Linked DNA regions of Caenorhabditis elegans. The protein of the gene in region 2 interacts with the protein of the main gene of each other region in a pairwise test. Each region holds a gene or a part of one and is shown on either strand. Other genes may lie near its edges.

Region 1 (5,536 bases), about 11 Mb from region 2:
TGGCAAAATTCCAGAATTGAAATTACCGGCAAATTGGCAGAATTGAAATTTCCGGCAAATCGGCAAACTTCCAGAATTGAACTTTCCGGCAAATCGGCGAATTTCCGGAATTGAAATTTTCCGGCAAATCGGCAAATTTGCAGAATTGAAATTTCCGGCAAATCGGCAAATTTGCAGAATTGAAATTTTCCGGCAAATCGGCAAATTTGCAGAATTGAAATTTCCGGCAAATCGGCAAACTTCCAGAATTGAAATTTTCGGCAAATCGACAAATTTCCAGAATTGAAAATTTCCGGCAAATTTGCGGAACTGAAACTTCCGGCAAATCGGCAAATTTCCGGCAAATTTTCCGGAATTGAAATTTCCGGCAAATCGGCAATTCGGAAAATTTCCGTAAAGTTTTTTTTAAAAATATTTTCCTCATGTCTTAAAATTGCACAGTTTCCGCCTGACGCAGCGGCTCCATTGAGCTGCCGGGAACCTGTAATAAATTGCATTGAAGAATTCCATAAAAATCGAATCGTTTAGATATAAAAAATAATAATTGAAACAGGCATAAAGCAGATAGTGGGACACGGAACTGGGGGAGGAGGGGGTAAATTGAATAATTATGTCCAGAGAATCGGGCTATATAACATTTTTTGAAGAAGGTCGCCTATTTTTGAGAAAATTTTGAAGAATTTTTGAGCCAGCGCCAAATGGAACAAATTAGGGAGAAAAAGGGGGAAAATATGCAAAAAAAACAAATAAATTACGATGAAAAGTGAGCAAAAAAGGGAAAAAATTCAATATTTAGAAGAATCTCTTGTGCATCGCCGACGCTCCCATATCTTCGTACTCCTTCTTTCCGAGCCACATTTTTCGGAAAGTGTCCAAACTGGCGACAATCGAACCGCCGATCCATGTGAGCGAATTTCGTTCCTGCGACGCGGAAATTCGAATTTTTCCGTCAGCGGGCGCGATTTTTCGCATTTCTCCCAGCAAACGATCGCCGAATCCTTTGAACAACGTCGTTCCACCGCTCAGCACGATGTTGCTGTACAGAGTTTGTCGAAGATCCACGTCACATTTCTGGAAATATTTAGTTTGAGCTGATGGGTGTTTTTTTTTTTTAGAAATTCCGCATTTTTTGGCTAAAATTTAACTGAAAATTTATTTAAAAAAATTCCTCTGATATCACAGTGGCTAAATATCATAGAAAAAAAAATTCTAAATTTTATATGATTTTTAAAAATTGAAAAATAGCTTTAAAAAATTTAAACCTCGCGCCAAGTGGTTTTATCGATTTTTTTTTTTAATTTTCTACCGATTTTTCATGTTTTCAGTATTTTTTTACTGGAAATTCGAAGGAAAAGTTAAGAAAAATGCGAAATATCAATTAAAAATCAGCGTTGAAGGCGTAAACCTTCAATGTTGAGTTTTAATCGATAATTCGCATTTTTCTTGACTTTTCTTCAAACTTCCTGTAAAAATACACTGAAAACGTGAAAAATCGGTGGAAAATAAGATAAAAATCGATAAAATCACTTGGCTAGGCTCGTTTTAAAGAAATTTCGCATTTTTTGGGTAAAATTCAACAGAAAATTGATATTTATATGGTAATCTTGTAGAAATTTCGATTTTTGTTCTACTTTAAGAGCTAAAACATTTCCAAAACGAAAAATCAAGTTAAAAAGTCTAAAAGATGAAAAATGTGCACTTAAAATAGCAATATTATGTGCCAATTAATATTTTCCAACGAAATTCCACCAAAAATTAAGCAAAAATGTCTGAAAAAGTGATTTTTCGTCCGAGCAGGCTGTGAGCCTACCATAATTGATTGATTGACAACATGTGCCATTCCAGGCCACTCGGTTCCGATCAAATCCGGCTTGAAGAGCACTTCCGGCGCACGGAACAATGAGTTGGAGATTTCGATTTTCGTGGTGTCTGGCAGAGCGTAGGATGACTGAAAGAATGCGATTTTCAGCTCATTTTCACTGCAAAAAAAATCACTACTTTCACTGAATTATTCTCCACTTTCGTCGGATCCAACGCCAAATAGCACGCGTTCTCCTTCATCTCTCGGACAATTTCGAACTCATTGCTCCTGTGGAACTCGTATCCTTCTCTGCGCAGAAGGACTCGGAGGTATTCGGTGACATCGCGACCCGCCAAATCCATTCGTTGAATTCTGAAAAAAGGAAATTTTAGAATTAAATGCTTTTTTTAAAGGTGGAGTGCGCCCAATGGAGAAATTGCTTTAAAACACGCCTATGTGGTCACAATGACCGAATATCATGATTAAAAAATTCAAAAAAATTTTCCTGATTTTATATGATTTTTTGAAAATTGCAAAAATATCAGTTTTCCCCCCTAATTCCTATTTGAATTTCCGCCAATTGAATTCGTTCGCTGGAGCGCACTTGCATTATTTTTATTAATTTAAATTTTTATTTCATTTTTTCTCATTACTTCACTGATTTTCTTCATTCTTTGTGTATTTTTATCGGAAAAAGAGAGAAAAATTCAAGATAAATTGCAAATTATTTATTTAAAAATCACTGAAAATGGGTGAAACTGTGAACTAAGCTAATTTCAGGTTTGCTATCGCCGGAACTCATAATTTTACAGTTTTACGCATTTTCAGTGATTTTTAAATAAATAATTTGCAATTTATCTTGAATTTTTCTCTCTTATTCCGATAAAAATACACAAAGAATGAAGAAAAACCAGTGAAATAATGAGAAAAAATAAAATGAAATGCAAGTGCGCTCCAGCGAACGAATTCATATGGCGGAAATTCAAACCGGAATTAGGGGAAAACTGGGATTTTCGCAACTTTCAAAAAAAAAAAATCATATAAAATCTAGAAAATTTTTTTGAATTTTTTTATCATGATATTCGGTCATTGTGACCACATAGGCGTGTTTTAAAGCAATTTCCCAGAGTTTACTGACGCATGCTTCATTGCAAATCCCTTAACAATCGGAACAGCATGTGTGACTCCGTCTCCTGAATCCAAAACGACTCCGGTCGTTCTTCCGGTGGCGTACAGCGATAGCACAGCTTGCATTTGAATATATAACGCTGGAACATTGAACGTTTCGAAGAAGATCTCAGCAGATCGCTCGCGGTTCTTCAACGGATTCAATGGGGCGTCGGTGAGCAGAACTGGATGCTCTTCTGGGAAGATTTTCAGCTGATCCTGTCCGAAAATGTACTCCCAAATTTTTTCCATATCGCTCCAGTTATTGACGATTCCGTGTTCCATTGGGTATTCGATTGAGAACAACCCGCGGTTTGATTCGGCCTTTGGTCCGATGAAAATGTCTCCGTCGAGCCCTCCGGCCATTACTCTGTGATATTTCGGTCGTCCGACGAAGTTGGCGAAGCGAACCTGTAAAAAATGAATTAAAAGATGATTTAAAATTCAAAATTCAAAAATCTCAAGTTTTGATTCGTTATTGCCTACCTTTGGCTGCTGTTCTCCGGCGAAACCAGCCTTAATGACTCCGGAGCCATTGTCGATGACCACAGGCTGATTGGCGATGACGTCGTAGTCCATTTTGTAACCTGAAAGATAAAATAACAGTTTTAACCAAAATTTGAGCTTGAAACAATTAAAAAACCCCGGATTAATTGGCATTTTCTGTGGAAACAAAATTAAATGAGAGTTGCGAAATGTACGCAGAGTTGCAGCCGCCGTGTTTGCGGACAATGCATCATTTGCGCGGAGAAATGGGGGTTTTGTACTTTGGAGGACAGAGGCTGAACAAATACATAGCGAGAGTATCGGAAACTATTGATTTTCCAATAGTATAATAAGAATACATGCACCTATACTTCTGGCAAAATATTACAACAGGATTCGATGCGGACCTGAGCAAAAAGAAAGCAATCCTCTTACGCGCGCGCCTTTAAAGAGTACTGTAATTTCAAACTTCCGTTGCTGTGGAATTTTCATGGATTTTTTTGGAAATTTTTCCATAAAAATATTTATTTAAAATGTGTTACAGTTTTTAATCACCAAAACATTGGAAATATTTTGCAATATATAGCTCTAATTAGAGCTCTAAACTGTTAATTTCAAAATTGAAGTTCAAACAACAAAGTGGGCGTGGCCAAACGAGACTCCGAATTCCGATACGCAGTTTGCAGTGGGAATTGATGAATTTCAAGTTTTAAATGAAGTTTTCGAGATTTTGTTCACCGAAAATAGAAGTTTATTAACTACATACAAGACAAATTAGCATTTGAAAACAAAATGGCTTGCTAGAAAAAAAAACCTGAACCAAAAAGTAAGTTGATAAAACCAAAAAACATTTTTCATTCATTTGAATATCCTATCTTGTATTTCTTCGCCGAAAGTTGTCCAAAGTTGGAGAAAGTTGTTGGGGAAAGTTTCTCGAAAGTTTCTCGAACCGTATACAGTAGTCATCACTTTCAGCAGTTTCTGTGTAAATTTTGCGTAGATCACAGTTTATTTATCTCTCAAATCGTATTTCTGTTTTATTGTTATCTACAAATACATTGTGATCTACGTGTGATCTACAAAAACAAACGCCTCTTGCATTGTTTTTTAATCTTGTCGTCTATACTACACACACACACACACGTCTCCCATCCGGAATGATACTTGGCACAGTGCCCGCAGTGTTGTGATCTCTGCGCAACATGGCCCTCTTCCTCCCTCTCTCGGCGTCTCTCACAATAGAGTGCTGTCTGCAGACCGTTGTGGTGCACAGTTTTTTTTTATTGTTTTCTGCTTTCAAATCCTTGTTGCTTTCATATTTTCTGCTCGTTTCTTTTTCCATAATTGAAAACTGTTTATCGAAATAATCTTTTGTAGCTTTGCAAAGTTAAACATGTTTCATTTTTTCTCACAAATTCCGACAGAAATTTCATTTACTTTCAGTGACCACCACGCCAGTACAAGTACCAGCTCGCATGACTAAAGGAAGTTCTGATAAAGACAATGGATACGAAAACATCAGATAATCGTAGTTTGGATCGGAATTGAGTGATGACATGTTTGAGGTATTGCGCATGTGTCTTCTGCCACATTTTAACAATTTTTAATTTAGGAGGACATCTACATGACACATAGAAGTTTGTCAATCTGTTGTCAAGACTCCGACTACAATTGCACCATATGAAAATTTTGGCGAGAGAAATGAAAAACAGACGTACTGGTTAATGGCCGACTGTTGTCGATGTGGTCCGAAGAACTCTATTTATTGAAAGTCCTGAAAGACTAGGGTGAGTTTCAGCTTGTTTAAAAGAATACATATATTTACCGAGGGGAATTTGAAATAATTTTGTTATGTATTTCAGCTCCGGAAACAGTTTTTGCAATCAGAAGATCCCTGGAATTCCTTAGAACACTCGCTCCACATGCAAATTGTCGTCGTTTTGAAGGAGTCATTATTGGAAAACGGGAACACTCGTGGTGGATCTCTTCGAAATTGCATTGCCGCGGTGGGTTTAATGAAAAATATCGGAAGTGCATACTACACTGGGTCATTTTGTAGACTTGTTGGTGGGCATTTAGGGG
Region 2 (3,739 bases):
AATATAATTTTTTTCCTGAAAAAGTTCGAAAAATTTTAAGCCATTTTTCGAAAAATCGAAGTTTTTTTCGGAAAGTAGGGGAAAAAATCGATTTTTCAGAAAATATCCTAAAATTTTGGTCATTTTCAAATTTTTAAAATACTTTCTCTAATTTATTCTTCAAAAATTTAAATTTTATGGTTACTATTTCCTGAAAAAAAATTAAAAACCCTCCATTTTTCATTGCAAAACTGCTTTTTTCCCACATTTTCGAGCTCCATTCCCACCAATTTACCCCATATTTTCAGCTATATCGCACCCGACATTGCCACAAAACTTCCAAATCTCAAAACTCTTGCACTGACCAACAACAACATTTGCGAGCTCGGAGACATTGAGCCACTGGCAGAATGCAAGAAGCTCGAGTACGTGACATTTATCGGAAATCCGATAACTCACAAGGACAATTATCGGATGTATATGATCTACAAGCTGCCGACGGTTCGAGTGATTGACTTCAATCGAGTCAGACTGACAGAACGTGAAGCTGCGAAGAAGATGTTCAAAGGAAAAAGTGGAAAGAAGGCGAGAGATGCGATTCAGAAGAGTGTTCATACAGAAGATCCATCAGAAATTGAACCAAATGAGAATAGTTCGGGTGGAGGTGCTCGGCTTACTGATGAAGATCGGGAGAAGATCAAGGAAGCGATCAAGAATGCCAAGTCACTCAGTGAAGTCAACTATCTTCAGTCGATTCTGGCATCGGGAAAGGTTCCGGAAAAGGGATGGAATCGTCAGATGGATCAGAATGGTGCCGATGGGGAAGCGATGGAGTCTTGAAAAATCTTGAAAATTGCAGAATGTGCTGCTAAAATTTATTTATTTATTTTATTTGATTTTTTTAATGTTAAAATGATACTCCTTGTTTTATTTATATTCTCATTTTTTTCCAATTTTTTCCCAGTCTGTCTTCCCTTTTTTTGTAATTTTTATATACCATAAAACAATATTTCCCCTATTATTTTTGATATTTTTATCGATTTTTCAAAGGTTCCCCGTGCCTTTTTATATTTGATTTTTTGAAATTTTTGCAACAAAAAGTTAGAAAAAAATCCTTTTTCAGCCATTTTTGTGTTTTCCGGCTATTTTTTATTATTTTATTAATTTTGAGAGGTTCCCACTGGGAACTTCCCAGCGCCTTCAAATATCTATTTGGAAAAAAAAGGTTTAAAAATTGGAAAAAACGCGGATTTTTTTTTGAATTCTCGCCTAAAATAATCCATTTTTTGTGTTTTTTTGTCATTTTTCCGCAAAAAAAAAACTTCAAAACCCTTAAAAAAATGCGTTAAAACTCTAAAATTACCCTAAAAATCGATAATTTTAGACTTTTTTTTTCACAAAAACTATCGATTTTTGGCTAATTTTAGAGTTTTCAACTTTTTTTGCTGAAAAATGACTGAAAATGTGACAATGAAAAACCGATAAAAAAAGCCGGAAAATACAAAAATGTAGAAAATCGGTGAGAAATTCAAAAATAAATCGGCTTTCACTAGTTTTTTTGCAAAATATTTTGAAAAATCTTTTTTTTTCAATTATAAAAATTTTTTTTGGTCAGTTTTGGCAAAAAAAACCAAAAAAAAACTGGCTCTCTACCATTAAAACAATTATTTTCAAAAAATCCACAACTTCCAGATGTCGGCCGCTCAAACCGCCGCCGCCACTCCAGCCGAGCAAGAAGAGCAACGAAAAGTCGTCGAAAAGTTCAAGGCTCTACGTGATCAACAACAGGATATCGCCGCCGAAGTGACTCGAATCGAAGAGGAACGACGTGAATTTGGACGTGTTCTCGAAGTGATCAAGGATCTTGAACCGGATCAGAAATGCTTCCGTTTGATTAGTGATACACTTGTCGAGTATACTGTCAAGGATGTTATTCCGGATTTGCAGAATAATATCGCTAATGTGAGGATTTGAAAGTCGGGAAAAATAGAAGAAAAGGCGGAGGAAACAGTCATGTGTCGATTTACGGAGTTTGTGTACTCCTCGTGGAGAAGATTTTACAGATTCCGGCTGAAATACCTGATTTTCGACCTTTTTTCTATATTTAACGCGTTTTAAATTGGGGATTTACAGTATTTCCGATGAAAATTGACAGTTTTTTGAAGCAAAAAAAAATATTTTTTCATCTGAAACACTGAATTTTCCGATTTGTTGCACCAAAAATACGGTATCTGGAAGCTATGCGCCTTCAAGGAGTACTGTAATTTGAAATTTGTGGAATTTATATTGATTTTCCGTAGTTTTTCGATAAAACACTTCAATTTTAACAAATCGAATGAAAAAATATAAACAAATCGATGGAAACTTTGCAAATTCGGGTACTCTTTAAAGGTGCGCAGCGTCATGTATTCGAAACAAATGTCGTGTCGAGATCAGACATCGTAGTTTTAGCGCAAAATTTCGCGTTTTTACACCTAAAAATTGAAAAAAAAAACCAGATTTTCCGTTTTTTTTATAGCGAAACCCCCAATTTGCGCTGGGAAATACTGTAAAAATACGATTTTAATATGGTTAAATACAAAAAATTGAAAAAAAAAACAGACTTCTCCTCGTGGAGTACACGAGCTGCGTAAATCGACACAAGACCATGATTTCACAGCCATTTTGCCATTTTTAATGCGAAAATTCATTGAAAATCAGTGTCAAAACATGGAAAATTAACGGTTTAATCTTAAAATAACAGTAATTTCAACGAAAATATTTGAGAAAACGGTCAAAAATGGTCTGAAAGTTGAATTTTGTTCAACTTTCAGGCAATTTTTGAGCTCTATCTTGGATATTTCGATTGAAAATAGTGTAATTTAAAGAGAAATCGAGTGATTTTCTATATTTTGTCACAAATTTTCAGCAGAAAAACATGGTGCAACTGACCAGAATTACCGAAAATAATAAAATTTTGCAGTTGACAATCGTCTCGAAGCAGCTCAACGATCAGCTCGTCGAAAAGGGAAAAGAGCTGAACACTCACAAAACTACACACAACATTCGTCTGCTCACTGAGAAAGAATCTGCCGAGCTGAGAAAAGCTGAAGCTCTTGGACAATTGCCAAAAGCTTAAATTTCCCCTGCTTTAATTTTTTTCTCGATTTCCTACTGCTTTTTCATGTTTTCATACGTTTTTTCTTACTCTGTTTGTTGCCTTTTTTCTATATGCTCCCGTTAAAAGAACTTAAGTCTTGCATAAATTGAATTTGAATTTTTTTTCGATTTTTAACTGCTTTATTATGGTTTTTGAAATCCAATTTTATCTTTTTTTTTTTGAAAAAAAAAACATTTTTTGGTTTAATAAGTTTTTTTTCCAAATTTCGATATTTTCCCCGTTATTCAACAAAATTCATCGATTTTTTCATCGTTTTCACATTTTCAGAATTTTTTTTCGAAAAAAACTGAAAAAGTAGCCTAAAACCGATAATTTAACATTCAATCATATTTTTTGCGAAAAAAATTGAAAAAAAAACTATTTTTCAAGTTTGTCATTTTTTGATTGATTACTAACTTAAAAAATGGTTTTTTTTTTCAAATTTTTTCCCATAAAAAGTATAATTTAATGTTAAACTATCGATTTTTAGGGTACTTTTACAGTTTTTTGAGAAAAAATGTCTGGAAAAATGGGAAACCATGTTTCAAATTATAAAAAACTGCAAAAAGTGAAGAAAAATCAATAAATTTAGTCAAAAAACTCAACAAAAAAAGTTTTAAA

Evidence for each region. Proteins that work in one complex are often made in the same cells at the same time.
Region 1: the proteins of pfd-2 (region 2) and arp-1 interact in a two-hybrid assay, tested with the Caenorhabditis elegans proteins (one large-scale study listed by BioGRID).

The regions. Positions count from the first base shown.
Region 1 is NC_003280.10:15,118,320-15,123,855, reverse strand, and holds arp-1 (Actin), read right to left. Parts: upstream 3,556-5,536; 5' UTR 3,548-3,555; coding exon 3,455-3,547; intron 3,380-3,454; coding exon 2,940-3,379; intron 2,174-2,939; coding exon 1,999-2,173; intron 1,949-1,998; coding exon 1,811-1,948; intron 1,072-1,810; coding exon 793-1,071; 3' UTR 511-792; downstream 1-510.
Region 2 is NC_003280.10:4,325,049-4,328,787, forward strand, and holds pfd-2 (Prefoldin subunit 2), read left to right. Parts: upstream 1-1,671; coding exon 1,672-1,941; intron 1,942-2,941; coding exon 2,942-3,097; 3' UTR 3,098-3,236; downstream 3,237-3,739. Other genes in the region: mog-2 (putative U2 small nuclear ribonucleoprotein A'), read left to right, coding at 288-819. UniProt on the Caenorhabditis elegans protein: Binds specifically to cytosolic chaperonin (c-CPN) and transfers target proteins to it. Binds to nascent polypeptide chain and promotes folding in an environment in which there are many competing pathways for nonnative proteins.